2 linked regions of the Drosophila melanogaster genome follow. The protein of the gene in region 1 interacts with the protein of each later gene in a biochemical or structural test. Each region holds a gene or a part of one and is shown on either strand. Other genes may lie near its edges. The genes, in order: CycD and vih.

Region 1 (9,482 bases):
TCGCCGCAGTCGTTGTCGCCATCGCAGCGGAAACGATTGAGAATGCACTGGCCACTGGGACCACCTGCTCCACCCAAACCGCCGCGGCACTTGAACTCGCCCTCCGGACAGCTGTTTATGACCGCCGCGCACTTGAGCTCATCCGAGTTGTCATTGCAATCGTGCTCACCATCGCAACGAAAGGCCAGGGAGATGCAATAGCCATCGTTGCAGGTGAAGTGCTCATCCGTGCAGGTGGTGCGATTGCAGTGGGTCTCGTCGGAGAAGTCCTTGCAATCGTTCTCGCCATCGCATACCCAGGTTCGTGGAATACAGAATCCGTTGAGACACTCGAACTGATCATCTGTACAATTCGTCCTGGCTCCGCAGTGCGTCTCATCCGAGTAGTCACCGCAGTCATCATCTCCATCGCAGAGCCAATACTTGCTAATGCATCGAAAGGTTCGCGGGCACATCACATGTATCCCGGTCTTCTCGCAATCCCTTTGCAAATTCGGCACTGCATCCTCCTCGGGATTGCAGTTCTCGTCGGATTCATTGGAGTTCTGGCAATTGGAGTATGTCTCACCCGGTTGACTGGGATCGTCCTGCACCAGAACGGCCAGATTGACTCTAAATGGCTTCTGTTTGTTACTCGGACCACCTATAAAACCATCTCGACCACGTGAACTGATTCGATCAGTTTCGCGAATGCCGGCTATTTCGGTTCTACCCCTCTGGGCGCCAATGTTCCGGAACTTGGGAGTATCGTTTGAATTTGTGCCACCGGATATTCTAGTCTTGGATGGCACAGACGATTCCATCGTATGCAATCTTCCCTCTCCACTATGATGCACCTCCTGGCTATCCTCGTTATTCTGCTGATACGGCGGATAGTTGGAGACGGGAAAGAGTTTCTCGCCGAACTTGCTCAGCTCCTCCGACAGCTGATCCTCCCGCGACTCGTTGCCCGCCTCTAAATGTCCGATTCTGGCATCCGAGTGCAGCTGCTTGTGCTTATTCCAATCCCAACGACCCAGTGCGTTTGTCGGGTGAATTCCATAGTGGGGCGCGTTACGTTTCACAGCAGTTTTTGTCAAGTCGCCGAGACCGAGACCTAGTCAAAGGATTTAAATCGATACCATTTAACTTCTAATTAGCTCAAAATGCAGCAAAGGCTTTTGCCTTATCATACAAGTTCAGTCGTGTTAAGTTGAATTGAATGTTAACTACAAGTAGTTAAAGGAAAACCCCCCTATTTCTCATTCAAAGCAGATAGCAAAAGGCACGTTTTGCTATTGTTCCCACGCCACTGCAATGTTCTTGGAAAATACAACACTTTTCATAGGAAAGGAGCATTGAATGCAATGCTTCTGATTTGATACATACAAAGGTCATGTCTTGAGTTAAAAGGTTTTCCAATAGTTCAAAAACAGCTTTACAAAAACATGCATACATATGTACATACATACATATGTACATAGTCATGGACACGTTTTGTATGCAAGCAATATCCTTAAATAAAAAAGTTTCATTCAATTCGATGCATGTTCTTTGATGCCTTGCACATACATATTATAGATTGCATGTTCCTGGAAATTCGTATTACAATTAAGCCCTCTTGAGCAGGGAATTTTCTCAATTGGCTAGTTTTCGTGTGCAAGTTTTCATTGAGCAAAAAGTGCTGTTGGTCTGAGCGCATCGTGGGCGTTAACAGAGAGATACCCTTCATCTCCCCCCAGGACAAACTGTGTTGCGAGGACAATACTTACAGAGCCACACGAAGCATACCAATGGCCAAAAGGGAAAGGCTGTCAAATACATGTCCAGACATGTACACAAACTCGCCCACTCATAGGCACGTAACGTAGTAGCGCTGCGAGCTTTACTGCTTTTGCTTCCGAAGCATTTGCTGCTCTGCTAAGCGGATGCTGCTGCTGCTGCTGCTGCTGCTGTGCTGTTGCTTTCTGCTAACTGCTGTTCCGATTCTGTTAAGAGAAAGAGAGGAAGGTAGAGAGAAGGAGGTTTTCGTATTGAGCGCTTGCGTATAACATATTTTGCTACCAAGGCGGATCTAGAGTTTTATATATATATTTCTTTTTTTGAGGGGGGGCGGGGCGTAACTTTTAAAATAATGAAATTCACTCAATGATTTTTTGTCTCTAGGTTTTGGACAATATAAAGTTAATGCAAAGTTTTGGGCTTGGGGGAGGGGGGTTACTATGCGCAAAACCCGCCCACCTGATGTATATGTTGTGTATATGTTACACTTAAGCACACTCGTTCTTTGCGTAGGTGTCACTCAATAGATTTTACTCTATTCATCTTATTTGTAAGCACTTGGTTACTTCTGGTCTTTGTTATTTACTTATTGTGTCACTGGGTTTTTTATGATTTACATAAATGTTTATTGTAAGTTAATAAATTTAAATGCCTGGCTTGTACGTCCTCAACATTTTTCACATTACGCTGTCTCACTAAACAGAAGGTTTATTGTGACTTTGTAGGTCCAGGACCGACTCCGTGAATGGATCAAATATCATGCGGCACGGCATTCATGGCACTACTTCATTCAATGTATATCCTATTATAAAGTTGCGTGGGCTTGGCACTGCGTTTGGCATTTCCAGAATGTGGTATAAAGGTGTTTATAACGTCCTGCGAAGTCCCCTCGCAAATGAATGCGATATTTGGGACTTTGTTGGCATTTATGTATGTATGTCATGAGCACCACACACGCGAACATATGCATATTAAACACAGTATTATTAAACAAAAAGAACCTCCTGAAACTTTGACACTTTTCGATTCCAATTAGCAAGTGGCGGGCGAGAACAATTGAATCAGCTAATTGTTCCACACACATTTGTGTGGGTAATTTACGTGAATGAAAAATTATTTTCGTACAGCACGTCTCTTGTCTTCTTCGGGAATATAACGAATATAAAATTTCAGGGGATTACAGCATCCCTCTGACGGAAAGCGAAGTCGGCGGACGCGAGTGTTCCACTCAACTCTCGTGTGCTGTTTCAAAGTTTTCTCTGAATCCTTAAGCTTTTTCTGGGAAGCGAGCTTTTGTCTGTGTGCCGAGAGTGAGGGTAAATTAATTTGCAACAACTAAGTTAGCAAAATGCGAACCCAATTAAGGATTGTATCATTGAAAGCATTCTCCACGCTGCAGTTTTTCCTAAAAAACAACAAAAAACTGCAGCACCGAAATTAGGACAATGGACATGGAAGTCCATTTTAATCTCGATGTGTACATATATCGGTACATCATTTCTCGGAAGGGATCCACAGGTTACTTTTGTTTATCATTAACCTGGCATTCCTAAGTCGCGAAAGCTTTTTACCCTTTTATCAATATCTTATTAATTATTAAACAAAGCAGCAAAGATTATATCTTTTTTTTACAATTGCTTTTAGAATTTTTTTAGTGAAATTATTTTAGGTTTCTTACATGTCTTACTGTTTGTCATCTAAAACTGTTTAAGTACAACCCTAAAGAAAATAACAGCAGTTCAATGCTTTTTGTAAGCGGTACAGGATCTTTAAGTGCAGCATTCATTTATTTACGACTCTTTCGAACAACCTGCCATTTAATCAACAGGTTCCGGCCATTTAAACGGAATTTAATAAGGGTGTTTTGATCACGATTCAACCTAGTAGGGTGATGCCAGTGAGTTTTGCATTACTGACCATTTTGTCGTGGACCACGATCGTTAAATGTATGACATGCCGAAAGATCGACTGTCAGTACCATCCTTACATGAATGCAGGGTGGCAACGCCCTAGCATATTTTAGTATTTTTGATTTTGCTGGAGTAATTGGAACACTTGAGTGATGTGAAATTCACATCAAGAGTAAGTTCGTAAGATCGTATAACAAAAAGCTTATTTAAGAAAAAAAGTAGTGCAATTAGAAGAACTTTGTTTTTATTATAAGGGTAAGACCCTTTTATAGTCCATCAAACCCATTGATGGATTATAAGTTTTTAATGTTCTAATAACAACCCTAAGTGAAACATATTTCACAAGCAACAAGTTGGAAACGCAATGAGGAGGTTCCCCTTTTCAACGTATTTCGCTTGCCTTTCATTGCAAAGGATAGTACTATACTAATAACCGATGAAGATCGATATGTTTTACTGATCGCAGTGAGCAAGAGATATAACTCCGATGACGGCATGCTGAACTAGTTTTTTTCTGCCATAAGGTGTAACTATCTGGTTCACATAAATGCTTTGTCCACGCCGGTTAAGTGGCAAACGTGTGCAACTTCGAGTATACTTTTTTAATAGTTAATTTACATTACTCCATGAAGTGCTGTGCCGTTTGTATATAACCAGAATTCCGAGAATAGGCGTAAGTGAAAACTTTTGTTCTCGAGCTGATCGTACATAGCCATGCATGTACATGTACATAAGTACATAGTGTGAAATGAACGAGTTATTTCTGAGCAGGTCGAAAAAATATGTAAATAATGTAATGTGCATATGAATAAGTCAAGGTATTAGGGTTATATGCTATACTCTAGTGCTCCCACAGGACTAAACACATATGCCCGCAGTGTGCCCATACTTGAGCAAATACTTGAATTAAATGTGAAAAGAAGGTTGCAACATACATATGTATGTATGTACTTATGTACGATCATTTCCTATTGTACGCAGTGTTCCCATATCGGAGTTACCCAAAGTTCCTGATAAATCGGCACACATAAATGGCTTGAGAGTGCGGCGATCCATAGAATCCATAGCTTTAAACGGAACGTATGGCCGATATAATGGATCTTTTATGCTCGGAAATCATAGTCTACGAATCAGATCCATCATTGTATCGTTTGAACAAACGACAGCAGCAAATGTCCTCACCGGCGATCATTCGGGATCAATCATCGATATGTTCATCCTTGGGGGACGCGGAATCCGATTCCCATCCGGATGCCCAGAACAATGCCGTAGTGTGCAATATGAAGGAGCTGGTGTATATATACGCGTCCGTGGACTCGGCTGCGAAAAATCCAGAACAATTGGAGCCGCCTCCGCCACCTCCACCACCGCCGCCACCACCACCGACAGCGACCCAATCAATCCAAAGTTATCCGCGTTACATCAGCCAGGAGCCACCGACGTCACATTGCCAACGACTCGACGAACGCCTGACCACAACAGCCGATCCACCCGCAACCGACAACGTGAACACTGCCATCGGGGATCCCACATTGTATTCGGATCGGTGTCTGGAGAATTTCCTCAAGGTCGAGGAGAAGCACCACAAAATTCCCGACACGTACTTTAGCATCCAGAAGGATATTACGCCACCGATGCGCAAAATTGTCGCCGAATGGATGATGGAAGTGAGTAATTAAACGAAATGTAGATACAGCATCCAAATCATATCAAGCTAGCCGACTGTGATATACGCATTATTTATAATCTGTTAGAAAATATTACCAAATAGATGGAAGTTTCCAAGAACTTCATTAATTAGTGTTTGTTTTAGTAGTCCTTATCGCACACCCATTACAATATTTTGACTACCCTTTTCGTTCATTAATTGAATACATGTTCACAGGTGTGTGCCGAGGAAAATTGCCAGGAAGAGGTCGTATTACTGGCATTAAATTACATGGATCGATTTCTTTCGAGCAAATCAGTACGCAAGACCCAGCTACAAATTTTGGCCGCAGCTTGCCTCTTACTGGCTTCAAAGCTCCGTGAACCCAGCTGTCGTGCTCTTTCGGTGGATCTACTCGTTGTTTACACGGACAACAGCATCTACAAGGATGATTTGATTGTAAGTACCTTTCTCGTAATACAATACCTTTCGGTGAACATGCGGTTTCATTTCATTCCCAAGAAATGGGAGCTGTATGTGCTAAGTCGCTTGGGCTGGGACCTCTCATCTGTGACTCCCTTGGACTTCCTTGAGCTTCTGATGATGCGCCTGCCGATAGGCAGCAAAAACTTTCCGGACATAAACATTGGCAAAGTGCGGGGACATGCTCAGGCATTTATATCGTTGGCAGCAAAAGGTAAGCCATATACAAAACAGTCCAACTTAAGTACTGACTTCCCACCCCTTCCTTTGAAGAACATAAGTTTGCCAAGTTCTCGGCCAGCACCATAGCTGCATCGAGCATAGCTGCGTCAATGAATGGCCTAAAGTGGCATCTGCGATCGGGACACAATCTACACTTCCTTTTGAGTCTGATGACCGATCTAACCAGCGTGGAGCAAGTGAGTATGGCAAGGGAGCAGTGTTGTTATGTACCACCACTCAATTGATTTTAAATGCACAGGCTCAGGTGCGAGATTGTATGCTGCACATGGAGGACATCTTTAAGGAGCACAGTCGGAATCTAGAGCCATTTCTAGTGAATATTGACCCAAAAGAAATGTCAACATTATACTACAAGAGGCGCTTCCAAATACATCAATCGCAGCATCTCTCGCAAATCTCAATTAGACCCTTGCCGCTACCGAAAGCTCCTGCCGAGTGCGTGGAGCAACACCAGCAGCAGCACAACTTTGGGTCCGCAGCGCCACATCGGACGCACACGTGCAAGATGCAGGCGCAGGCTCAGGCTCAAAACGAGATACAAGACGTTACATTTTGAGGTGTCAAATGATAGTTATGCATACATGATAGTTATGTCAGGCTTAAGTTGAAATTATATATAGGATCCAAATAGTCCGATCACTATAGGATTGGCCAATATCACACTATTTACATTTGAATCGATGTATTTTATATGTACGCAACTATTTTTTACCAAACTATGGGTTATTATTTTTAGCTATCCTAAATATTTTGTATAAAATAGTTTTAAATAATCATCATGAAACTTTGAAATGGATGAAACATAAAAACGAGACTGATTGTAAGCAGCAAAGCAACATTTTTTTTTTGTATATAAGCTTTTCGAAATCCTACACAGATAACCAAAAAAGAACGAACTATTAAATGCAATTTTTTTAAAAACCATCCAACATAAAGAGAAAAACAATATGTTAAAGTTAACTTTGGATAACAATTATATAAGTTGGCAAATAAATGATAGAAAAAAGCAATTTCTTCTCTGCCCTCTATGATGTATGTATATTTTCGTATAATTTACTTTCAGATAAATCGCATTAGCTTACCAAACGAATCCAAGTAGTTAAAGGCAATGCGAATAATTTAATTTTTCTTTATTTTCTTATTAACAAACGTCTATAAACAAGAATCGTTAAAGACCATAACCTTAACACACACATAATATTTATCATTGAATAGGTTTTTGTATAATTTCTTGCGGACATTGCGTTGCTAAATAATATTTGTTCGCATATAATTCATTGCTCTGAGGATAGTTTAGTTCATACAAGTTTTTAGAGTGAGTACATAGTTCGATTTTTTTTTTACCATCAATGTAGAAGCATTGTAACACTGCAATTAACGATTTTCCTTTTAGATATTTCTTCGGTTTTTGTTTTGAGCTTTAAAAAAATACTGGCTTTATTGCATTCCTGCACTCGTCCGCCTCCTGCACTGCGATTCGAAATATCATATATGTACGGATATATGTAATACCATCTGGAAACGAAAACTATGAAGCTAGCAGCACTGTTTTTTACATATACATAAATACTCGTTTTGGAAAATAAATTTTTTTTTTTTTATTTCACGTTCAAATATACTTTAAAAAGTAAATGGTATCCCCGATAAACTTAATTCGAAAGCACTAATTTGAATGTTGAATTGTCCAAAAGATCATGTGTAAAACACTTTTTAAATTTTTCCATCGAATTTTCGAAACAACTGGATGGGAATTGCCATCTTTTTGGGATTTACATCTTTGATAAAAAAAAAAATGATGTGATATGGTTGGTGGGGGGAGGGGTTTCGCGTGCTGGCTCTCTAAGTTTCTGTTTCTGTTAATAATTAAGCATACTCTGGCATGCTGTGCACTCAATTACGCGGCCATTACTTGAATCGCGAACTGAAGGCATTGGACAACTCATTGATGGCTGCCTGGCCCACCGCCTGGTTCACCTGTCCACGCATACTCTCCGGCACATAGCGATTGGCTCCCGATTGCTGGACAATGGCGCCGCCGACAGCTCCGGACACACGGCTTTGAAAATGAACAAGGGGATTAATTTAAGTTTTTGAAGTATGTGATGTGCTTGAATTGAGAGATTCGGCGTATATATGTGTATGTATATGATGTATCCATGTGTGTATGTATATAAATTCAAATCGTTCGGATTTGATCCGAAGTTGGATTGAGTATCACCTCTAGCACTAACCAACTTCTACTTCGCACAGATTTCGACGAGATACACACCAAACGTGAAGCAATAGGTAGCTGATAGTCGACTATATTCCCCGCCAGTAAGCAATACACACTTATGTAATACGAACAATTTATGTATTTATTTATGCACTTTATTTGTGTGTATACGTAAACTGGTCATATGTAATTTAAGTTGTTGCATATTTCCATCGTCACAATCCATTTGAGTAAGTCACAAGAGTATTTTCATGACTTATATATTTGTAATCAACATTATAAATAATACAATTGTACATAAAAATATTGGAAACACGTATTTTGTATATATATATTTACACATATATATATATATATATATATATTTATATATATGTGTGTGTGTATATGTATATAGATATATTTAGGTTTGTTGTGGCAAAAAAGCGGTTTAATATCAATTTAAAAGAAATTATATTTTTTGACTTGGCTATAATTATGGATATACATGTAATTGTGTTAAATTATTATTATAATTTTTTTTCTTCTTTGTATGCTCCTGGGAATCGATACAAACCACTCAAAAAATCTCAGCAAATTTCGCAAATATTAACTATCGCAATCAAAATAACCAGCTTTCACATTGAATTCAAATCAGTACTTTGACCTCTGACCTGACCAAACTTATGCAAATATGTAACTACAAATACGAAGAGGAATGGACAATACAAATAAGCGTTAACTTAATCCTGTAACTTAATCGTTTCTTGGAAACGGGACAGCTGATGATTCCACAAATCCGAGAATCCGGATGGGGAATATGTACATACATACAAATAACATGTTTCTTACAGAAATTAATCGTATTAATTTATGGCGAACAAATCGTAATCATAAACATAATCATAATACGATATAGCGATAAGCGAAAGCAACGCCTACTTAATTAGTTAGAATCCCCAATATGTAATTGCAGTGTGCATTTTCGTTAAATGGATGGGGGAATTTAGTGTTTAGTATTAGTTCGATTTTAGTTGTTAATTAGTGTTAGTTTGCTTCTTAAGTTCAAGGAAATACTTTGTGACTGACTTGAAATGTTCTCAACGCTGCGTTACCTAACATTTTCTAATTTAATTGGGTTTTTTTTTTTTATAGTTTAACATCAACAACAACACAATGCAGTTAACGAAAGCTATTTATTAATAGTTAGCTATATAATTAAGATCATTGGTTAATATCGTCA
Region 2 (8,235 bases), on another chromosome or scaffold:
GCTCCATACTTCTGTAGGTGTCCACATAGTCCACATCGCTATAAGTTCCAAAGATCAGTTTCTTTAAGCTTCTTGAATCTAAACTATGTATGTTTAGTTGTATCCCAAACTCACTTGGTCCTCAGCTGGCCATTCTCGTGGGGCATCAGATCTTCATCAGAGATGTAGTCCACGCCCACCGGCGAATGCATCAGATATAGATCTATATAGTCCACGCCCAGTAGCTTTAATTGCATATCACAGGCGTATTTCACCATCTTGGGTTCGTGGTATATGTCCCACAGCTAATTGGATATTGATTTTCGATCTATTTACATGTGCTGGTAACTATATATAACCCATCTGTACTATATCCTACCTTTGTGACCAGAAACACCTGTTCGCGTTTCAGTTTCTGGTCGCCAATAAGTTTAGCTAAAACCTTGCCTATAATGCCTTCATTCCTGTACAGATATGCGGTGTCTATATGCCGATAGCCCATTTCGAGGGCGTGGCACACGGCAGCCTCACAGCGAGACTTCTTTAACTACAGATAACATAATTAACTTTCAATTTCACAATTGCACTTAATTGGAATTGAATGGTAGAAATTTCCATAAACAATTTCTGCCTGCTGATTTATTAGCATCGCCGATGATAAGGACTTACATTGTAGGTTCCTAGGCCCAGAATTGGCATCTCGTAGCCATTGTTTAGCTTAACAGTCGGAGCGAGCTTCATTTTGCACGTTTAAATCAAGAATAAATAAGGAAATTCAATCGCTTAATAAAAAAAAAGCCGGTGAGCATAGTGTGACCAAAACGGCTTTGCGTAAAAATACCCAATGCCATTCTGCTAAGCTTTATTATTTAAATATTTTTAAGTGTTTAAATAGCTAAAGAAACTTTGATTTATATTAAATAGGAACAAATGTTGTCATAAAACAGTGTTAATTTTATGTTAAAAAGTAAAATGTTCAAATTTAATTACGGCAGTGCTTTTGCATTTTGGCAGCTTGCAGCACTGGTTTATAACTAGTACTTAAACAGCTGTTACGAAAATATCTTTTTTTTTAAGAAATCTAAACAAAAGAACTTTTAAAATAGATGGAAACATGAGATCCATTTGAAAACGTAAATAAAAATAGAAAAAACTAAAACTGCCAGCAAACGCACACAAAGCAGAGTTCAAGTTGTCGCAAAGAAACCTTGAGACCTTGAAAAGCAAGTAAACAAATCAATTTTTGTGTTCTCCCTTATTATAAACAAATAAATTCTAGGCTACAATGAGCCACTTGGGCCTTGCGGATGTGCACCAGTCCGAGGATGCCACTCCTGACCTGGAATCCTTCACTGGCTTCGGCAACTCCGCCGCCGAGGCCTTCATTCAAAGTCTCGCAGGAATGGTGAATCAGGGCGATGTGGAGACCATGATACGGGCTCAAAAGCAAATGTAAGCCATTTCATTTAACCAGAGATTATAATAAACATCCAAAATATATCCCACAGGCTGCAACGCTTTGAGAAAACCAACGAGATGCTGCTCAACTGCAATGCCTTATCGCAGAGTCGTTTGAAAAGTGCCAGCGAGGATTTCAAAAGACACGTGAAATGCCTGAGCGAAATGAAGAAGGATCTGGATTACATATTCCGCAAGATACGGATCATCAAGCAGAAGCTACAGTCGCAGTTTCCCGCCATTTACGCCGAAGTTCAGCCGCAGCGTAGCAGTTTGGCTGAGGAAGCCGAGGATGATACGGAAGCCCAGGCTAAAAAGACTGCAGAAACACCTGCTCCTGCTGCCGCAAAACCTGTCCTATCCACCAAGAAAAGTGCCGCCACCATAGAGTACGTGCAGATGGAGGAGGCAGTGGACAATGGCACTGTGGAGATCGAAAACGAGCTGATCAAGCGAGTTTGTTCCGTGGAAACTGCCAATCCCAATGATTCCTCCGACTGCACATCCGAGGATACAGGTTAAGCCTAATTAGCTTTAGTCCCTCGATATATTTATCTTCATATAATAACTTATTGGTTTAATATTTGTATAACCTGCTACTACATACAAGGACACAATTCGTTTAGTTAGATTTAAATGAAATATGCGTAATAATTTAAGAAACTAATGGCTTAAAATATAATCTGGTACTTGTACTGCTTGGGCACCTTTGAGATTATGACGCGACCATCGTAGCTGAGCGAAGCAAAGATCCACGGATCCACATTGCTCCACTCCGCGCAGTAAACGGAGTCCTCGTGCTGATCGAAGGTCTGCAGCAGACCATCTGGCAAGAGTTTGTGCCTCTCCTCGGCATCGGCACCACTGAAGTTGGACTCATCTAGTCCAGCCTGAACCTGCGTCTCCGAACTAACCGATCCCGCACACGTGAGCAGCACCTTGCAGTCACTGGAGCTGGAGAGGATCAGTTGGTCGTGGAATGTGTTGAAGCGAACGCACCAGACCCAATGCGAATGATCGGAGCGCTCGAAAACGGGAGCCTTGGGCATGCGACAGTCCCAGATCCTCAAGTAGCCATCGTCACCGCCGGTGACCAAATGGCACTGCTTGTTGGGATTGCAGTCCAGGTCACGGACCATTTGACCATGCGCATCGTTGATGCTCCAGGCACAATGCTGTGTATCCCGCACATCGTAGGCACTTAGATTGCCATCCTGGAGGGTGAGAAACTGGTGGCCCTGATGATGATGCGACCACTTGCCGCTGGTGAAATGCTGTGTGTGCTTTGCAGATCCACTGGATGAACCACTGGCCGGCACCTCGGCCACCACGCGAGTAGAGGACTCGGCCCGCTGCATCACAGCCACCTTGTTGTCCACCACACAGGCGAGTGTGTCCTGGTTGGGATGGAATTCGATGGTCTTCACACGTTCGCCCAGTGCTTCGGTATCCAGGACCTCAACCTGCTCCCACGGCAGGTACTCTGACTTCAGCTGCTCCGGATCGGGATTGAGATTCTCGGGCAGCGTAAACAGAGCCGCTTTGGTCAGCACTTGTGCTCCCTTTTGTACATTGTAGACGGAGGCCAGCAGGCGAGGATTACGCGGACAACTATTTAGTTTCCAAACTTCACCCAGGGCGTGCTCAAAGACCTGTTCAAAGTTGTATGTTTAGCTCATACTTTGATCATCCCAGATATTCACCTTTGATTGCACGGATCCCTGCTCCTCCTCGTACTGGATTAAGTGAACCTGATTGGTGGGCTTCAAGGAGTTGGTGGCTATGAAGAAGCACACATCGTTGCTCTCTCCGTACTGAGGTGTTAAAGCCCGCGCCTGCAGTTCGAGTCCGTAGATTAAGCTATTTTCATCCATTTTCCACGATTTACTCAATGTTTTGATTTCGCTGGATATCTAGGTACGCAACTTACGTACACTAAACGGCGTACCTAAAAGTGTTGGTAAGCATTTATCACAAGGTGGCAGCCCTCGATCATATTACAAAACAATATATAATTTATTTTAATAAAATTAAAATATTTACATATATAAAGAGGCTTAAATATATGTGATTTAATATATTAAGCTCAAAATATAAAATAAATAATATTGGTATTCAAAATCCATTGATATAATTTGGTTACACTTAACGTTATGCCTTTTAAACGTGTAATAATTATACATACTTGGAATAGTAAGCTAATTATAGTATTAAGCTTAATACGTTTATAATCTTTACTTACCTTTGAAACATTTTCCGTTATCTCTCGGCCAGTGTGACCGTTCGACCACGCCAAGAGAGCGTATCGACTCCCCCCAAAAATAAATGAAATACAACCCTGTGCCCAAACACAGTTTCTTCTCGTTCTCCTTCCATTTTGTTTTCACACAAAAGTGAAAAAAAAAATATCTGAAAAAGCAACAGACGCGTATTCCGACCGATCAAACTAAATTTCCACTATACAGTACATATAATCACAATTGAGAATCGAAAACCCGACCGCCACGAAGCGCGCTAAATTACACGCACATACTGAAAGCCAAACAGCGGATAGCACTAGCATCCTACATATATAGACGTAGATATATAGTCATGGCGCAGAATATCAGCCCCGAGCAAAGTGGTGGAGCAGGCGGCGGCGGCAGCAAGCACAGCGATGACTCCATGCCCGTGAAAGACAATCACGCCGTGAGCAAAAGGTGAGTAGCACATGGTGCAGCCTAGATAATCCGCCAATATACACACACACTCACACTCACCCACAGACTGCACAAGGAACTGATGAACCTGATGATGGCCAACGAGAGGGGCATCTCAGCGTTTCCGGACGGCGAGAACATCTTCAAGTGGGTGGGCACCATAGCGGGTCCACGGAACACGGTGTATTCGGGGCAAACGTATCGTTTGTCACTGGATTTTCCCAATTCCTATCCGTATGCAGCACCCGTGGTGAAGTTCCTGACGTCCTGCTTCCATCCCAATGTTGATCTGCAGGGCGCCATCTGTTTGGACATACTGAAGGACAAATGGTCGGCCCTGTACGATGTGCGCACCATTCTGCTGTCCATACAATCCCTGCTGGGCGAACCGAACAACGAGAGTCCACTGAATGCGCAGGCCGCGATGATGTGGAATGACCAAAAGGAGTACAAAAAATATCTAGACGCCTTCTACGAGAAGCACAAGGACACCTAGAGTTTGGCAATTCGTTGTCATATATCCTATGCTCATATTGCGGCGTATTTATTTACATATAGTGCAAGCAACTCCACTCATCCGAAGACCTACTGCCAACCAACAAACCAATCATCAATCACCACCGTAACACAGTACCATCAGTTAAGTGGATCACCAGATCAATTTCAACAACGTTCAATGCTGATAGTTCATTTGGCAAAAGACCCCGTGCGTTTCTTATGTAATTGTCGATCGATTGACGGATAATCTGGTTTTTATTCTCATTTCTTTCCTCCTCCCTACAAATTAATGATAAATGAATGTATTGGTAATGTAATTTTAAAACTGTCATCCGTTCTTTAAGCTTAAGGATAAATTTTAGTTAATTGTTTTATATACGCATGATTACTTTTTTGAGAACTACTGCGAGTGCGCGCCATCGCCATCGCCATTTTTTTGTACTGATGATTTTTAAGCGACTATGCTGCTGCGCCGGCCATTATGTGAATGTTAGCTAATTTTAGGGCAGCCTCATCGATTCGTCAACCATTCGCGTCGTCTTAGTATCTCCAATTATGCGGCATTCTCCCACAATACTGGCATAACAAAATTCCAAGTAATTCGAATCATTGTAACAGTTGTGTTAGCTTGATGTTATTGAAACCACAAATAAAACGAATTATTGAACTACATCCATCGCTTTGTGTTTCCTCCCGTGAGCGTTGAGCTCCACGCTGTTCTGGAAAATGCGTCCGCATTTTCTGCATCTGAGCAGCAGATTCTTATTGCCGTGCTTGCGCAGCAGATGATCCACCATGTTCTCCTTGGTGTAGAATCTGCGATCGCAGCATTCGCAGCAGTATCTCCGACCCTCAACGCTACCATGGACCATCTTGTGGCGCGTTAGATGTGCCTTTCGCGCAAAGCACTTGCCACACTCCTCACAAATGTGCCGCGCATCCGGGGACTCTGACTCGTGATACCTTTCGTGCGTCCTTCTCATGTGATATTTGAGACTTCGGTTCGCTGTGTACACCTTGTTGCAGCTCGGACAGGCATAGATGATCCGCGCAGCGTCGGCATTGTTATGCATCTGCCGCAGGTGCGACTCCAGCAGATTGGCCCGGGCATAGCTCTTGGCACAATGGACGCAGGTATACGGTCTCAGACCCTCATGCTGCTGCATATGGGCCTCCAGCAGCGACGGTTTGTAGAAGCCACGGTGGCAAATTCGGCACTCGAGGGTGTGTCGCACTCCTCGTCGTTTTCTGGCACCCAGCAACTTGCTAGAAATGGATAGCTTCTCCTGGCCCAGATCCTGTTTGGCTGACTCGTCCTCTATTACGTAGACTTCCTCCTGGAAAATTTAGGGTATTATATATTTAATTACCATAGCAAACTGAATGGTGGTGGTTTTTTTTTTTTTTTGTGGGAATTCTGTACATATCTATTATGAAGGAATTTTTTATGTAAAAAGGGTCTAAGCATATAAAAACAAACTGCTTTTGGTTGAGTTAAGTAATTTGTAGTAAGGGTAGGAATTACATTATGTTTACTCATTACTTTAAAGTGGAAATTTTTCCTTAATTTGCTATTAAGATTATCTTATCGCTCGACTTAGAAGATGATAAAATGAAAGTAATATTTTGTGAACCGAACTTTTGGCGGTCACTTATCTGTTTAGTTTAGTTTTTTAATGCTAAAAATATTAAAGGCGCTATAAATAATATCTAAAATGAGTGAAAGTTAGGGAACACATTTATCTATTCTAGATAAAACTGGCCTTTAAAATCGACTTTCTTATTTGGAGGAGCCATAAATCGAGGCGTGTTGCCATCTTCCCAATTTTATTAGTGGAAAATTTAAAAATACCCAATAGATTGGGACGTGCCTCCTTTTCGAGTGCTATCACCCACCAAACAAAAATAGTACAACACAAACAAACGCTGTCGAAATGTTTTTGTTTATGGCGGGGAATGGGGAGCAGTATTGTCTTTGCTTGGCTGCTAGGCAACACACCTCGAGCGAAGCACCCAATGTGATTCTAGATAAGATTACGGCCAGAGGCAGGCACACTTGTGGCCAGATAAAACTCACAATCTCCTGCGTCGCTGCGATGCAGGGTGCGTGCGACTGGGCTTCCGGATTAGTGGACTCGTTGCTCTCCGAGGGGGTGTCCAAGTCGTGCCAAGTGTGGTCCTCCAGTTTGTGGCATCCGATGTCGATGTCCTGCAGCAGCTTCTCAAAATTGCGCAAGGACTCTGCGCACATGCGTTGAAAGTCGTGGAACTTTTGCACCAACTGATAGCAGCACTCGCAGATGCTTTTCAGCACCAACTGGGGTGGCAAATCCCTAACGGCATCCTCTCCAGTACAGCCGTAGTACTTGCTGGCCAGATCCTGTTCGCTGTCCAGATTGTGACACGCATCCTGCGGACCCAGTAGCACAAGACAAGCGCGGCATATCATCGTCTTGGCACCATCGCATCCATCCATGCCGGAGGTAGTGGTGGTGGTGGAATCGGCGACAATGCGACCCGCGCACAAACTCAGCTGGGAATCAAACATCGTTGCTGGCATCGTCGGGAGATTCAACGGGCCACTCAAATGGCGTGGAGCCAATTGAAATCAATTAACACAATCTGCGACGGCGGCAGTGCAGCAGTCCGGCGTCCAGCGGCCAAGCCAACGATGGCAGTAATGCCAGCGGAGAGCACGATTCCATTTCCGGGGCTTTCGAATTGCGGGACATTGAAAGCTGCTGCCGAAAAGCTGCGTGGGATCAGCCCCAAAAGCTTGGCGTCGACTCCATGCCCCCAACTATTCTATTCGAAAAGCTATCCTGCATAGTAAAATTGATTTAAAATATTATGCGACTTCTTTAATTAATTAAAAAATATTTCCTTTAATATGCTTCGATATTTTAGTGATCAAAATAAATATATTAATTTAATATGAATTACCTTTTTTATCAAAATCTCAAGTTTTATTTGTGTATACAGCACAAAGTATTTAAAGAGTAAATTAAGTAATTTTTAAAAGATTCTGCCATGTGATTTTAGGCAATCGTTACACATGAAAAAGATTGTGAAAAAACATATGTTCTGACAAGTTAAAATAATAATAATCCAAATGTATAGCATATCCTAACCCTAGATATAACTACAACTACTCAGTTTGTAGTATTTTGCTTTGTCCATTCGTTTAGTTAATATATATCCTTCATCTATATGCTATTTCCGGTGACAGTCGAGCCCAAAGTCACAGAAGTGGCCACTGAAGACAGCGTTTCCATGGAGATATTGAACTTCTGCTTGAATGCCTGCATCGTGTCCAGATGGTAGATCTTCTGTGTTCCATTGCAGGGCCTCTGATCGATGGCCACGGCATAGAGATTGACATCTCCGCTGTTGGCCAGCAGCGTGGACATGTAGTGGGGCAAGTAGACGCGCTGCAGTTCCGGGGATTCCGAATTCTCCGATGCGTTATCCCCGCTGGCCATTTCCTTGCTGAACGACCGATGCAAACGGACTATCTGCACGCTTTGATAGTGCGATATGAATAGGAATGGATCGCGGTAAACAAATCCAGTGGGTGCATAGACCCAGTTCAAATCGTACG

The links.
Region 2: of the proteins of CycD (region 1) and vih, one has a biochemical effect on the other in vitro, tested with the Drosophila melanogaster proteins (one study listed by BioGRID).

Annotation. Positions count from the first base shown.
Region 1 is NC_004354.4:15,904,393-15,913,874, reverse strand, and holds CycD (cyclin D), read left to right. Parts: upstream 1-4,198; 5' UTR 4,199-4,765; coding exon 4,766-5,338; intron 5,339-5,556; coding exon 5,557-5,778; intron 5,779-5,841; coding exon 5,842-6,016; intron 6,017-6,075; coding exon 6,076-6,221; intron 6,222-6,283; coding exon 6,284-6,601; 3' UTR 6,602-7,053; downstream 7,054-9,482. Other genes in the region: Lrp4 (LDL receptor related protein 4), read right to left, coding at 1-1,096, 1,752-1,803; shi (shibire), read right to left, coding at 7,951-8,101.
Region 2 is NT_037436.4:12,500,517-12,508,751, forward strand, and holds vih (vihar), read left to right. Parts: upstream 1-3,775; 5' UTR 3,776-4,029; coding exon 4,030-4,136; intron 4,137-4,202; coding exon 4,203-4,632; 3' UTR 4,633-5,293; downstream 5,294-8,235. Other genes in the region: CG10638 (uncharacterized protein), read right to left, coding at 649-720; CG10681 (uncharacterized protein), read left to right, coding at 1,265-1,431, 1,488-1,959; CG10646 (uncharacterized protein), read right to left, coding at 2,109-3,089, 3,141-3,311; CG10654 (uncharacterized protein), read right to left, coding at 5,294-5,971, 6,634-7,194; sti (sticky), read right to left, coding at 7,841-8,235.